Caenorhabditis elegans: one gene and its partner. The protein of the gene in region 2 purifies or fractionates together with the protein of the main gene of each other region. This does not show direct contact. Each region holds a gene or a part of one and is shown on either strand. Other genes may lie near its edges.

Evidence for each region. Proteins that work in one complex are often made in the same cells at the same time.
Region 1: the proteins of ctsa-3.1 (region 2) and ndub-3 fractionate together in Caenorhabditis elegans (co-fractionation; one large-scale study listed by BioGRID). This does not show direct contact.

What each region holds. Positions count from the first base shown.
Region 1 is NC_003280.10:8,962,765-8,968,477, forward strand, and holds ndub-3 (NADH dehydrogenase [ubiquinone] 1 beta subcomplex subunit 3), read right to left. Parts: upstream 2,127-5,713; 5' UTR 2,126-2,126; coding exon 1,995-2,125; intron 1,943-1,994; coding exon 1,876-1,942; intron 1,693-1,875; coding exon 1,579-1,692; 3' UTR 1,478-1,578; downstream 1-1,477. Other genes in the region: sftd-3 (Vesicle transport protein), read right to left, coding at 1,119-1,217, 1,264-1,379; sec-62 (Translocation protein SEC62), read left to right, coding at 2,410-2,430, 2,496-2,619, 2,668-2,743, 2,795-2,907, 2,953-3,204, 3,289-3,408, 3,453-3,775, 3,825-3,890; szy-20 (SUZ domain-containing protein), read right to left, coding at 4,433-4,574, 4,629-5,242, 5,363-5,671.
Region 2 is NC_003280.10:7,229,527-7,237,570, reverse strand, and holds ctsa-3.1 (Serine carboxypeptidase ctsa-3.1), read right to left. Parts: upstream 4,719-8,044; 5' UTR 4,718-4,718; coding exon 4,551-4,717; intron 4,032-4,550; coding exon 3,869-4,031; intron 3,411-3,868; coding exon 3,274-3,410; intron 3,224-3,273; coding exon 3,085-3,223; intron 3,043-3,084; coding exon 2,951-3,042; intron 2,897-2,950; coding exon 2,729-2,896; intron 2,688-2,728; coding exon 2,504-2,687; intron 2,456-2,503; coding exon 2,117-2,455; intron 2,072-2,116; coding exon 1,736-2,071; 3' UTR 1,651-1,735; downstream 1-1,650. Other genes in the region: aqp-1 (Aquaporin), read left to right, coding at 534-650, 702-828, 902-1,039, 1,085-1,415, 1,463-1,643; F32A5.4 (uncharacterized protein), read right to left, coding at 7,119-7,292, 7,342-7,467, 7,570-7,773.

The DNA.
Region 1 (5,713 bases), 1.7 Mb from region 2:
ACTGAATCGAGGAATTGTAGTATTGATATTACTGTGATAAATTTTTGATTAACTTAACCAATTATCCAAAAACAAAATATAAATTTCAATCTAATTGAGTTGAATTTTGCAACGGATATCTTTGGCATTTTTTTATGAATGAATACTTTAAAAATTAATACATGGAAAATTTAACAAAATATATTTTCAGATTTTTTTTTGTTTACTTTAAAAAATTACGATTTTTCGAAAACAATTTAGTCATAGTTTTGGCTCAATACCAATTTAATTTGGTTTTTTTTAGAAGTAAGAAGCATTTCGCATGTTTGGAAATTTTAAATGTTCTAAAAAAATATTCAGAACATTAAATAAGAAGTAAGATTCGTAAAAAATCCTTTTTTTGGTTGACTTCGATAATTATAAGTTTCTAAAGCTGAGTAATATCCAATTTTTGACTGTAAATTTTAAAGATATCCTTTTTTGAAATGCAATGATATTTTGTCGTTTTAACACAAAAAGAGTGATAATATTTCCCGGGCTTGCAATTTTGCGCAAAGAATACGGTGTCCGGTCTCGACACAACTAATTTAATTAAATTCAAATAGGTGCGCGCCTTTAAAGAGTACTGTAATTTCAAACTTTCGTTAATGTGAAATTTTCGTCGATTTTTTATAGCTTATTCATATTTTAATTTTTTAAATAAGTATATTTTTACCGAAAAACTATGTAAAGTCGATGAAAATTCAGCGGCAACGAAATTTTTAAACTACAGTACTTTTTAAAGGCTCACATCTATTTTTGTTTTCCAAAAAAACGGCGTGTCGATACCGGCTACCGTATTTTTGTCGCGAAAATCGTAAAATTTCGCTGATAAGTGAACATAGCTTTTGGAAATATTTTTAAAACTTTTTTCGAACTGCCAAAAAAGCGTTGAAAGTTTTTGAGTAATCTTATTATGAAATTTAAGTAATTCAAAACCATTTTGAGTCTATTAAAACGAAAACAATTTTATCCGTTTCTCATCAGTTAAAAATTGAAATATATAATATTTAATTGATATTTGCCTACTTAGGAGTATTTAATTCAAAGAAATCAAGATTTTCAGTTTATTTTTTTTTGTTTTTCTGAACAAAACATACCGATTTCTGGAAGCTGGCAATTGTCCATCTCCAGAATCATCTCCAACTAATAACTGCTGACTATCGGTTGTTTCGCTTCGGGAAAGTAGGGAAAATCCTCTGAAACTTCAAACTTTATACATTTCTTCTAAGTGAAATTTGTTACCCAATAGACGTTGGAAGCTTGTTGCGAAGTGAATCAAATGAAGAAAATGAAGCTGAACTGCTGATACCACTTCCTTTCTTCTTCTGATCATTTATGAACTGCTCTAGAGCAGACATGCCCTTTAAATTGTTGTTGTAAAACATTTATTGACATCGTTATCATAGAAACCTTTCTGGCAGAATACCAATTTTCAACGAGGGTGAATTGCGATTTTAAAAATGAATGATTTATTGGAGTTTAAGAAACTACATACACAAAAAGAAAACTTTTAAACTAAAAAAAAAGAAATCGGCTCGAGATTTGAAACAGATAATTCTAATGATGACCATCCCATGAGGTGGTTCCGTGAGTCTTGTATTGGTAAGCTTCTTCAACGAAAATCAAGGCAGCTGTGAATGCAACTCCAGCTTTCCATCCAGGAAGAATCAACTGAAATTTATTAAATAATTTTAAAAAATTCCCTAAATACATTAATATAATTTTTGGAAAATCGGCTTGCTCGGAAATTTTCCAAACAAGAGCACATTTATAGGATACAATCCATAAAAATTTTTTAATATTATGTTGGTATTATATTAATAATATTTAATTCATCTCGAAGAAAACACGAACCTTCTTGAAATGAGCCCATTGTCCAACAACGTGTGGATACTTTCGATCGTACAAGTAGACGTAGTTTCTGAAAGAAAAATCAATAATATATTTATTAATATTATCGATAAAAAACCGACCTGATCCATGGATCCTTCAATCCGATTTGAGCGAGTCGTTTTTCATGCTGCGCCAACTGTGGAAAATCGCGAAAATTGCTGTAGATTGAGTAGTTTGGGATCTTAAACGGCTCGTGATGTCCTCCACCCATTCTGGAATTAAAATAATTGAAAAAAAATGTTTTAGAAACCTGTATTATGAAAATAAATGAAGAGAACGATAAAATCAGAAAGAAATGCCAGCCGAGTTTGTGTAGATTTACGCGGTGTGTAAGCGTGCGGCAGTTGCGTTTTCCGTCAGAGCGCAACTGCGGCACACTTTTCTCAATCAATTGTCAGGAGATTTTGGCTTGTTCCAACGCACCACTTTTGTTTTGGCTGTATTTTCAGATTCTCAACATTTTTTCTGCTTTTTTAATAAAGGAAAACTTTAACCATGTCGAAACGTAATCAAAAAGTGAGTTTTTATTCGGAAAAATCAATATTAACTAGAAAAGAACGATGTTTTAATTCAAATTTCAGGGCGTATCTACGGAAGATGCCGTAAAAATGACGAAGGAGCAAGAAGACATTGCCAAATACATCAGATTCAATTGTCCGACAGCCACGACCATGTTTGAAGGAAACGAAGTTCATTATTTCAGTGGTATGTACAAATTTCAATTGTTTATATTAATATCGCATATATTTTCAGGAAATAAAGCTGTCGATACTCTTTGGGAATCCAAGTACGGAAATAAAGCAAAGAAAGATGCAATGTTTAAAACAAGGTGGGCATTCTGTAGAAATTACGTAAATTTAAATAGATTCTAAATTTTCAGAGATGATTGCTTCCATTATATTTGCGAACTCAACTCGAAACAATTATTCTTCCGTGCAAAAAAATTAGTAGCAAAGAAAAAAGAGAATAAAGATAAAGGAAACGATTCTTCTGGTAATCATAAAACTTAAAAAATATCTTAAAACACGTTTTTTTCAGCTGAAGTTACCAAATCTCCAAAAGGTGTAGTTGAAAAGAGAAATAAAAAAGCCAAAGAAGAAGAAACAGCAACCGAAGCTGAAGGTGATGAGAAAGAAGTGAAAAAAGACGAAAAGAAAGACGAAGAAAAAAAGAAAAAGAAGGTGAAGCTTCTTGTACATGAAGTTCAAGCATTCGTCGATGACAAAGATGTCTACGTTTGGGTATTCGATCCAACTCCTCTCATGAAAAAGATTATTGGAGTACTTATGCGTAAGTTTTCCCTTTTTGATTTGTTATTTCCTGCTTTAGAAATGATTCAATGTGTAAAATTAAAATCCAATTAATATATTTCAGTCGTCGGTACAATTGTCGGATGCTTGTTCCCTCTATGGCCTGTATGGCTTCGCCAAGGAGTTTATTACGTATCAATTACTGGAATTGGATGTTTTGCAGCTATCATTGTCACTGCTATACGTGAGTTGTTTCAACAATAATATTCATTTTTCGATTATTTTCAGTCCGTACTATTCTTTTCGGAATTATCTACGCTGTTACTTTCGGAAAACACAAACTCTGGGTTCTGCCGAACTTGACTGAAGACTGTGGAGTTCTTGAATCATTCCAACCATGGTATACTTATGAGTATGTTGGTGATGAGAAGAAAGAAGCTAAGAAAGATAAGAAAGATAAAAAGTCGAAAAAAGAAAAGGATTCTGATGCAGAAGAGGAGGAGCAAGACCACATTGCTGCTGAACAGGAGCAAAAAGAGGAAGAAGACGATGATGCTGAAAAAAATAGTCAGGCATCAACTGATGATAATTATGAAAAAATTGAAGACGAGGTAATCTGATAAGTGTTTCAATTTAAATAATTATAATTTTGAAATTTAGGAAATCTCTGCTCCACCATCACCAAGTGACGATGCTCCTCGAAAACGTCGTCCAGCTAAAGTCTAGAAATTTAGTTTATCCTGAAATTTTTCCATTCCACATTTCTGCATTTATGAAAACTTGTCCTGAAAATCTATTGCATTACCCTCATCCTGTCGGTTTCGTCACATTTTAAATACTATTTTTCGTCCCATTCTTCCATACTGTGATTACCCTCTTGGCTAGTTTCTTCTTTCTCAGTCACTCTTCATTGTTCTTGCATAACTAAAATCTGAATGTTTCCGTTTCGGTCCACTATTGGACATATAATAAATTGGTCTATACAAAAGTCAAACAAGATAATTTCTTCATCAAACTTGGCTCATATAACAATAGAAAATTGAATAACTTGAAACATGCCAAAATGAATGTAGAAAATAATGATATAAATATGTGGAGATGGGGGGAGAAAGAGGAAGTACGACCCGTGTTGATTAACACAATTCCGAATCGGACTGATGGAACAAGAAAAGGGAGATAAATGTGAAAAGATGACCATCACAGCACATCAAAAAGACGTGGTTAAAGCATGAATTGTCTATAGAGTGTTCGTAGAATGGAATAACAAACTATTGAGGCCGATTCTGCTGCAACGCTGGCCATTGGGATGCAGACATCATTGGATGTGGTCCAAGAATTCCAGCGCCAGTGTTTGGGGATCCATTGTTTGCGTGTTGTTCTCGAATCGCATTCACATTACGTGGTGGGCATCTGCAAAAAGAATGTTAACAATATTTTAAAATGAGCCAAGTAATTGAAACTCACCCAAATGGAATTGGATTTTGACTCATCGGAGGTTGCTGTAGATTTGGTTGATAATTGTTCTTTTGCATATCATTTCTATTCTGTCCGAATTTTCCTGATTTGTTCTGCTGCTGCTGTGGCTGATGCTGCTGTTTTCTACCATTATTCGGATTGTTCTGGTTGGAATTTCCGTTTTGGTAGAACTGACCATTCTGAGGCTGTGACGAATATGATCGCTGCTGACCTTGCTGCTGCATATTCCTATTCTGATAGTTTTGACCATTGTTGGTCATACATCTATTCTGCATTTGATTCATCAACGGCGGGGGCTTTGCTGTCGGCCCACTGTTGCATGGCATCTGATACATCATCGGCTGTCGATTCTGTCCACGACCAGCACCATTCTGCTGTGGATAACTATTCACCTGATTTCTTTGGTTCTGTTGATTCATCACTTGGCCATTTATAACCTGTTGGTGTTGCTGAGGCGGTTGATGTTGAATCTGTTGGCATTGTTGCTGTTGTTGTTGAATTTGGTGTAGTTGTCCTGCATTCATTTGATGGTGCAGTTGTCCTTGGGGTTGGAAGTTTGGAGGTGGGTAGGCCATGTTTGGTAGATTGTACGGAATGTAGTTCTGAAACTATTAATAGGTTATTTGAATCGTCCATTATTTTGTCATATTTTTATGGTATTAACCAAATAAATCATTCAATTAGAAAGGAGTGGTTACAATCACAACAACAAAAAAACAAACCATTGGCTGTTGGGTAGGCGCCTGATAATAATATATCGCTTGATCATTTTGACCATCACCGTTGCTGTTTTGTGATGTTGTGGAAATAGCTGAGGCTTCATGCGGAACAAACTGATGTTGGGTCTGATTATGATACTGTATCGGAATTTGTACGTTCATCTGCATCATATACTGATTATCCAAATACTGTTGTTGATGAAGCGATTGTTGTTGTAACGTTGGCTGGAAATTTGGTTGCTTCTGTTGAAACCCAGGCGGTCCATTGTAAACTCCGCCGCTCTCCGATACCGATGGTGGTGGCTGCTGAAGCTTTAGATCGGGTTAGGAAAGTAATACAGGTTAGGACGAAAA
Region 2 (8,044 bases):
CGCAATTACAACGTGGTTTTATTTATTTTGATTTCTTTATGTTACAAGTTTTTAGTTAAAAATATATCTATGTTCAAAATGTATTCTCCGTGCGTTGTCTCAATCGAAGAGGAAGTTCCCAAGGTACAGTAGAGCTGCCAACAAACATTTTTATCGTACACCACCAAACACACCACCAGACTATTTAGTCTTCTTTCTTTTCCTTTCAAAAAGTACACCAGCAAAACTGTTTGCCGCCGGTACTTCCTCAAATCGTTGTCTCTTTTTCTTATATCATAACACACAGTTTTGCCCAAAGAACTGACAAAGTGTACTTGTCGGCTTTGGTTACCTTACGGGATTAACATTTGAAAGAAGATTGGACGGTGCCATCTTCATTTCAACCTCCCGCCTTCTTATCAATTTCATTGTGTGCGTGACACCAACTTTTTTTAATAGCAGAAAAATGTTTCAGTACACTTTTCATTTTGATAATCAGCAGAAACCCTTCTGTTACGAGCAGTCTGCACCCTATCAATCTAACAACATTTCAGAAAATCATGACGGCCGAGGAAGATACTTTGCCTGAAAGGCTGAGGTTTCACGGAGTTCACACAAATATTTTGGCAAGGAACCTCATCGCCGAGTTTTTTGGAACATTCCTTCTTTGTGTTAGTTTTAAGTTTCTTGAATAGTAATTTGAAAATTTGATTTTTTTTTAGTTTATCGGTCTTTCAATTGTTTTCCAATTCCATGCTGGCGGTGGAAAGACAACTGAATGGATTGGAGTTAACATAGGATGGGGATTTGCAATTATGTTTGCAGTTATGGCAACAGCTAGGATGTCAGGTAATATTTCTGTGAATCAAATCTTCTGCTCAATTTTCTTTTTATTTTAAGAACTTTTATCAACATCTTTCAGGTGGTCATCTCAATCCAGCTGTTTCCCTTCTACTTTGGTCTCTTGGTCATCTCAAACTTGCTTGGGTGCCACTGTACGCAATTGCTCAAACCGCTGGAGCTTTCGTGGCTTCTCTTGGAATGTACTCTTATTACTATGGTATCCTACTTATTCTCCCTGTTGAAATTATTTTGAAATTTTCAGAACAATTCAATGCATTTGATGGAGGTAATCGCACAATCCTCGGAGCTACTGGAACAGCTGGTTGCTTTGCCAGTTATCCATCTCCAAATCTTGGAGTATGGGGTCCATACATTGATCAGTGCGTCGGTACCGGAGTTCTCGCATACTTCCTCTGCGTTGTTATTGATGAGAGAAATCAAATTCCAAAAATTTGGCATCCAATGTTCTTCGGATTCTTGGTAATGATGATCGGAACTGGATTTGGAATGAACATTGGATATCCAATTAATCCAGCAAGAGATCTCGGACCACGACTCTTCAGTTATTTTATCTATGGTCCAGGTGTTTTCCAGTTAGTTCACAGTGTCAATTCACAAATATCTCATATAATGATTTCAGCTCTCCATACCCTAACTATTGGCTAGCTCCAGCCATTGCTCCATTTGTTGGTGCTCTTGTCGGTGGATGGTTCTATCATTTCTCCCTTGGAATGCACAATCCTGACATCGAAGAAGCCGACGATATTTTTGTTCAACAACCACCAAAATCTGTAGAGCAACAAAAATTGCTTCAAGCTTAAATCTAATAATTATGTACATTTTTATTGAATTTTCAAATGTTTAAAAAACATTACTACATATATAGTCTTGAATCAATAAATTAGAAAAAAACTTAGAAAACGATGTTGAGCAATACAGCGAACATAGAAATGAAGAAAGCAACAGTTGATGAGGATCCACTGTCAACCAAATCAGAAAGTTGAATGTTTGGATTGAAATTATCTTGACTGGTATAGTTGATAACAACATTCTTTGGAGCCCAAACGAAGTTGGAGATCATTTGAACTGATGGTCCTGCACGATCATATGGAACCATGTGTCCCGCTCCCTTTACAGTCAGAAGATCAATTGTGATCATAGCATTGTTCTTATTTTTGCCAGAGTAAGTTTGAACATATCCAGCAAGTTGTTGGTTGTTACTGTAATACCATGGGGTACGTGGCCCACTCTTAAAATATAATTGGAATATTATTTAACGGTAGAAGTGACTTACGGTAAGTCCATTATCTTTAGCAACTTGAAGAATGTGCTTGGCATCTCCCAAATAGTTACAAACAGTATCGACATCTCCATTGTAGATTAAGAAACGGAAGTCGGTTGTGAGATTTGTGATGATATTGTTGAAGAATCGATTGGTAGTGTTGTATTTCAGAGTATAATTATTATAGATAGACATTCTACAATCTTCCCATGTGTTTTTCTGATCCTTCCATGCTTGTGGAATGTTGAGAGCATTCTGCACATTGTCACTGTTCAAATACTTTGACACAGCATCTTCATTCCAGCAAAAATATCCAAATTGATTGTCATTTGAGAAACGGTTGACAAGAGTCTGAACAATGAAGCAAGCGTTTCAATTAACAAACTAAGATAAACTAACAGCAGTGTTCTTTGCCAAATTGGAAGTTCCTTGGAAGTTTCCGAGTTGTTGATATTGCAAGTTCTTCTGGACCGAAGATACTCCTTGCATAGCACTTCTCTTGTGTCTCTTTCCTCCAGCTGGTGGTGGGGCTTGAAAGACAGATTTGTCATAGCATTCTTGGTAGAAGTTGTACTGGTCAAATCTGAAAATTACGTTAAATATATAAAATACAAAATCTCATACCCTTCATTTCCTAAAGCGTTTTGCGAAATGAGTGGTTGAATGAGGTTTCCGCAGTATGAGCCATCTCCTACGTAGTCAATTTTATTTTGAGAAGTTGTGAATTGAGAGAAATCAAAACTGTCAACGTCGGCTCCCTTTGAACAGTTTGCTTTGATGTCGGCCCAATTCCTGAAAAAATAAGTTCAGTTTAAAACGAACAAAACAGTTTTAAAATGTTCTTACTGCTCAGAGACACGTCCATGGTAGGCACTCCAAAGGGTAAGGGCATTGAGAAGTCCAGCTACATTCATGAATCCGTTTCCAATTGCAGAACCCTAAATTAGACATGTTTTGAAGTAATTGTGTAATTATTTTACCTGGAAGTTTTTGTTTGGAAAGGGTTGATTGGGATTGTTGATTCCTTGTACAATCAAATCGGTCAACATTGGAATATAAATTCCTGCATACGATTCTCCAGAAAGATAGAATGTTCTGTTCGTATATTTAGGTTGAGCACTGAAATTTAACATTTTTCTGTTACGTATCTAGACTTAAAATTCAATTACACATTGAAGAAGTTTGTGAGAGCCTGATAATTCTGTGCAGCTGATTGATCATCATTAGCTTGGAAGTATCCTGGAGTAGTAGTGTCATATGAATAACCAACTCCAATTGGGGATTCTAAGTAGAGAACGTTGGCTTTCTGAAATTTTAAATATTAAATTTATAGTTTTTATTATCCTAATACATGTCCCTGTCCCTTTTTATGTTTCAATTTGGTTTCATTTTTAAACTACACAAAGTTGTGTTTTATGTGCCTAAATTTGTTATCTATACAATAAATGAGGTTTCAACGATAAATTGCAAAAAGCAATAAAACTTGAAATTTGCGTAAGCAAGACTATTTTCTATTCAAACTTTCTTTTCTCTATCAATTCAACGAGAACTAAATATCATAACGTGGTCTTCGAATGGTAATTAGCAAACCGCCTTTGATCGAAAAGAGTTGTAGTCTAAACTGAAAGTTATGATTATCATTTCGGTTTTCATAGGCAACCGAGTGTTACAGGAATCTGATTTGAAATTCTTTTAACTACATAATAAAACTCTGGTCTTTGGAATTGCAAACAGCTTATCCTTTTCCCCAAAAATAATAATTACCGCATTCCATGCATATGGGTTCTCATAAAGAGTTTGTCCATCAAAGTTAACATAAAATGGACCAAGTTCTTCGAAAAGTCCTCCAAGAGATGAGCATCCTGGCCCTCCATTGAACCATACCAATAATGGATCAGTATCTGGATTTGATCGAGATTCTGTCAACCTGGAAGCACAATTTCTTTTTAATTTGTATTTCCAATAATTTTATCAGTTTTCGCATGGACAGCGAAAAACGTTATCAGTAAATTTTTAATTGTATTTGCAGAGAATTACACAAGAATTATGACTGAATTAGATGACTACTTGATGCTTCGTGAGGTGGAAATTTTAAATTAAACAGAAGAAATAGTGACAACAAAATGAATTGATGATTATTCAATTGAGAAATGACATTTCAAGGGAACTTTTGAAATTTTGATGAGAAATACGTTTTGAAGTTCAATGAGTTCCGAAAATAGAATGATCTTCAATCATTGTGTAAACTGCGAAATTTCACAAAAAAAACGTGCATTCGAGTAAGGAGTATACTTTTCAAAGAAGATCTAAGAAACTATATGAAAGCAAAAAGCTGGAATTTTGAGAAATTTTGAGAACTAATGAATTCGAAAAAAATACATTCACTAATGGTTCACTTGAAAATAAGACTTCAGATTTCCAGATTTGCCGAGAATATAAAACTCACATATAATGCATTTTCCATGTTCCATTTGCATTTGCATCGACATATCCAGAATATGACTTGAAATTGGCTTTGAACAAAAGACCGGGCAGATTCTGGATCAAATCCTTTTCTCCTTGAGATAGGACCGTCACAACTAGAAAAGCTACACCAAGTAGAGTTCGACACATTCTGAATAAAATGGACTCTCAATGATCAGAATTAATGAAAATCGTAATAAAAAATCTATAAAAATGCGGTAGACTCTAAAGAAATGAAGGTTGCATAGAGTTGCTAATTGATAAGAAGAAATATGCTTATCACTATAATAATTCGCTTTTTGAAGCCATCCTTTTTATGGTGTCGTATTGAAAAAAATGTGTTGCGAGTGCCAGTATGGAAACAAAGTTCGAGTCGTAAAAAATACTACAATTCTGGCTGAATAGATGTGGGTTGGGTTTACCTGTCAAGAGCAAATAATGACAAGAAATAGAGAAAACTTTTTGGTTCTGATCATTCTCCACGAAAAAGCTTTCAAACTTAGAAACTTAGAATATGGAAGTACGCTTTTGAAGTGACAAATTTTTTCATCACGCTTCATTGTAGCTGTTTCAGTTTAGCCCTTTAAAACCTGTAAATCATGAAAGTCTCTGACAAATAAAATGACCGTATTTCCCCTATTAGACCCCTTTGCTCTTGTTTGACAGTCTCAGTCTCAGTATCTCAGTTGTCTTTAGTCATATTAAAGAAGTGTCAACGGACAAAACACGTACAAAATTTTTCTCTATATTTTGATTGTTGAAAATTTTTTGATAAACGTTAAGGCAACCGAGATATAAGCCGTCAAACCACAGGTGCAAGTAAAATTGAGAAAATATGCTATTTTAAAACAATAAAGCAGCCGATGACAATCAGGGTTCCGCCATTCACGGGGAAAAACGTGCGTTAGACCACGCCTTCTTTTCAAATGTAGATTTTTTGAAAGGCAAAAGTCCGATTTAGTTTTTCAGAGCGGAGGACGATTTTGGAGATGTGCAGATTTTTCAAAATTTTTTTAAAGGAACTTGATAGAGCACCAAAAATTACGATGTTTCATCCAAATCTCAAGTTTCTACGTTGGATATGAGGGATTTTATCGATGAAAATGGATTTTTTTTGGAAAATGGCCTGTAACCTATATTGAAGTTGAAGTTATTTGAAAAAAGTTTACAGATTATTTTTGAAAATATCTATAAAATGTTAAATCAATAAAAATATCTCACAAAAATCTTTCTTGTGGTAGATACACCGTTGTAACGGAAGAGGAACCAAAGTTTTTGGACGTTTTTTGGTAAAATAACTTTGAAGTCATGTATCTCTGAAACTAGGATACTTATCAATAAGCAGGTTTTTGTGACAGACAGATAAGATATTTTCCATTAATTTCTCAGTCAAACATTTTGTGCAAAAATTTCTGCTTTTCAAGATATACTTGTCACAAAATTGGTATTTATATAGCAATTGGAAACATTAATTGAGAGTTAGGTACTTTTCTCGCTTTAAGCTGAATTTCTCAAACAAAACAAAAAATATTAATATGAACTGAAGCTCTGTAAACTTTTCATACAATTTTGAAGCGTTTTTTCCGACTGGCAACTCTTGGAATATACTTTTCACCTGAAAAACTGTTGCCACTCTTAGATTCTAGAAATTTCAAACAGGAGTATTTTGACAACTAAGCATATTCAAAAGAAACTGCCTGCTGTGAAATTGATTGAAATTTCAATTCCTACAGTTTGCATCTAGTTTTGCACCAGTAAGGTTGGTATTTCCTAGAGATAGTAATCCATGAACAAAATTGCACAAATAATCTGAAACTAATTTTGATGAAACGGATGTATCTCATGAAATAAGCAAGTTATGAATGTCATATAAGTTAAAATAGGGTTTATAGATATTTTTTCACATTTCTCCACAAAATCTTTCCAAGAATTCAAACTTCAGTCGAGTTACAGACCATTTTCCAGAAAAATCCATTTTCATCGATAAAACCCTTCATATCCAACGCAGAAACTTGAAATGTGGACGAAACATCGCATTTTTTGGTGCTCTATCAAGTCCCATCAAAAAAATTTTGAAATTTCTACACATCTCCAAAATCGTCCTCCGCTCCAAAAAACGAAATCGGACTTTTGCCTTTCGGAAAATGGCAAAAAATCAAATTGGGATATTTGGGTCGAAAAATATGTTTTTAGAATGCTGAGAACACGTTATTTACGAATATCATGTTCATTTTTGATGATTTCTGTTTTGAAAAGATCTGAAATTAAAACGTGGACCTAATTTTCATTCTCGCGTGACACTTTTTATTTCCTTAAAATCACTTGAAAAACCGATCGAATTCTCAGTTATTAAAAAATTCACGTAAGAATCAATTTGCCTTCGATTTATTTTACTACGATTTATTTGTTTATTGATAATCAATAACGTTATTTATCTGTACAAGGTTCTTTGGGAAAATGTGGACCGTAGCTGTTATATGCACATATTTGATTGCTTATTAATTGATGATTTTCAACTGTAAAATGGGGGTCGCGAAGATGTAAAGCAAAATTAGAAAATGGCAGTACAGAACTGTGGAACTGTTGGTTTTGGTGGAAGAGTAGTGGAACTGGTAGAAGCTGGAGTAGTGGAAGATGGTTGTTGTCTTTGTTGTTGTTGATTGAACCTATCTCCTCCGAACAAAGCTGAAAGGAAGTCAGATCCACCGAAGAGGCCTTGAACTTGCTGAAATTAATGAATCTTGAATTAATAGCTTTTAAACTTTCAAACTCACGCTTTGCATCTGTGATTGAACGGCATTTTGGTAAGCGGTTTGTTGAGTATCGAATGTTTGCAATTCAGAAATCTCATCAGAAGAGAGGTCACGAGCGTATTGTCCACCAACATAGACTTTGTTGCCCTGAAGAGAAGATTATAGAATTGTGGTTTGACAAATAAGAAGGCCAACTGTACAGTAATACTGTTCATAATTCTTTAATTCTATTTATAAGATAAATCTTACTTGAACCATGCATCCATCGAAATAGTATTGAGTAGTATCTTCAGCAGTACAGAATGATGGTTTTTCTGGAGCCTTTGGAATTGATCCATCGTCATTTCCTCCCTGGCTGCTGACATCATTGCTTTGTTGTTGTTGATTTCTTCCTTGAGACATCAAACGGTTACGGAGGTTTTCACGACGTTGGCTGAGAATATTACGGAGTTGCTGAAAAAAATGCCAAGTCATGTTGCACCGTTATTGGGGAAGCCCTCTTAAACGTTGGGTTTTCATTTTTATTAAAGGAAAATTCAAAAATCTATAAATTTCATGACGTAGAATGAGACCTTCCAGGCGGTCGAGGAGTGACGAGGATACCTATAAAACGCCTCGTCACTTGATCTTCTCGCGCCCTGCTGGTGGTATGTGAGTGCGAGAATGAGTCGCGTCACTGTGGAATTCCTACTTCAGACTTTCCATCGGATTTAACCTTATTGGC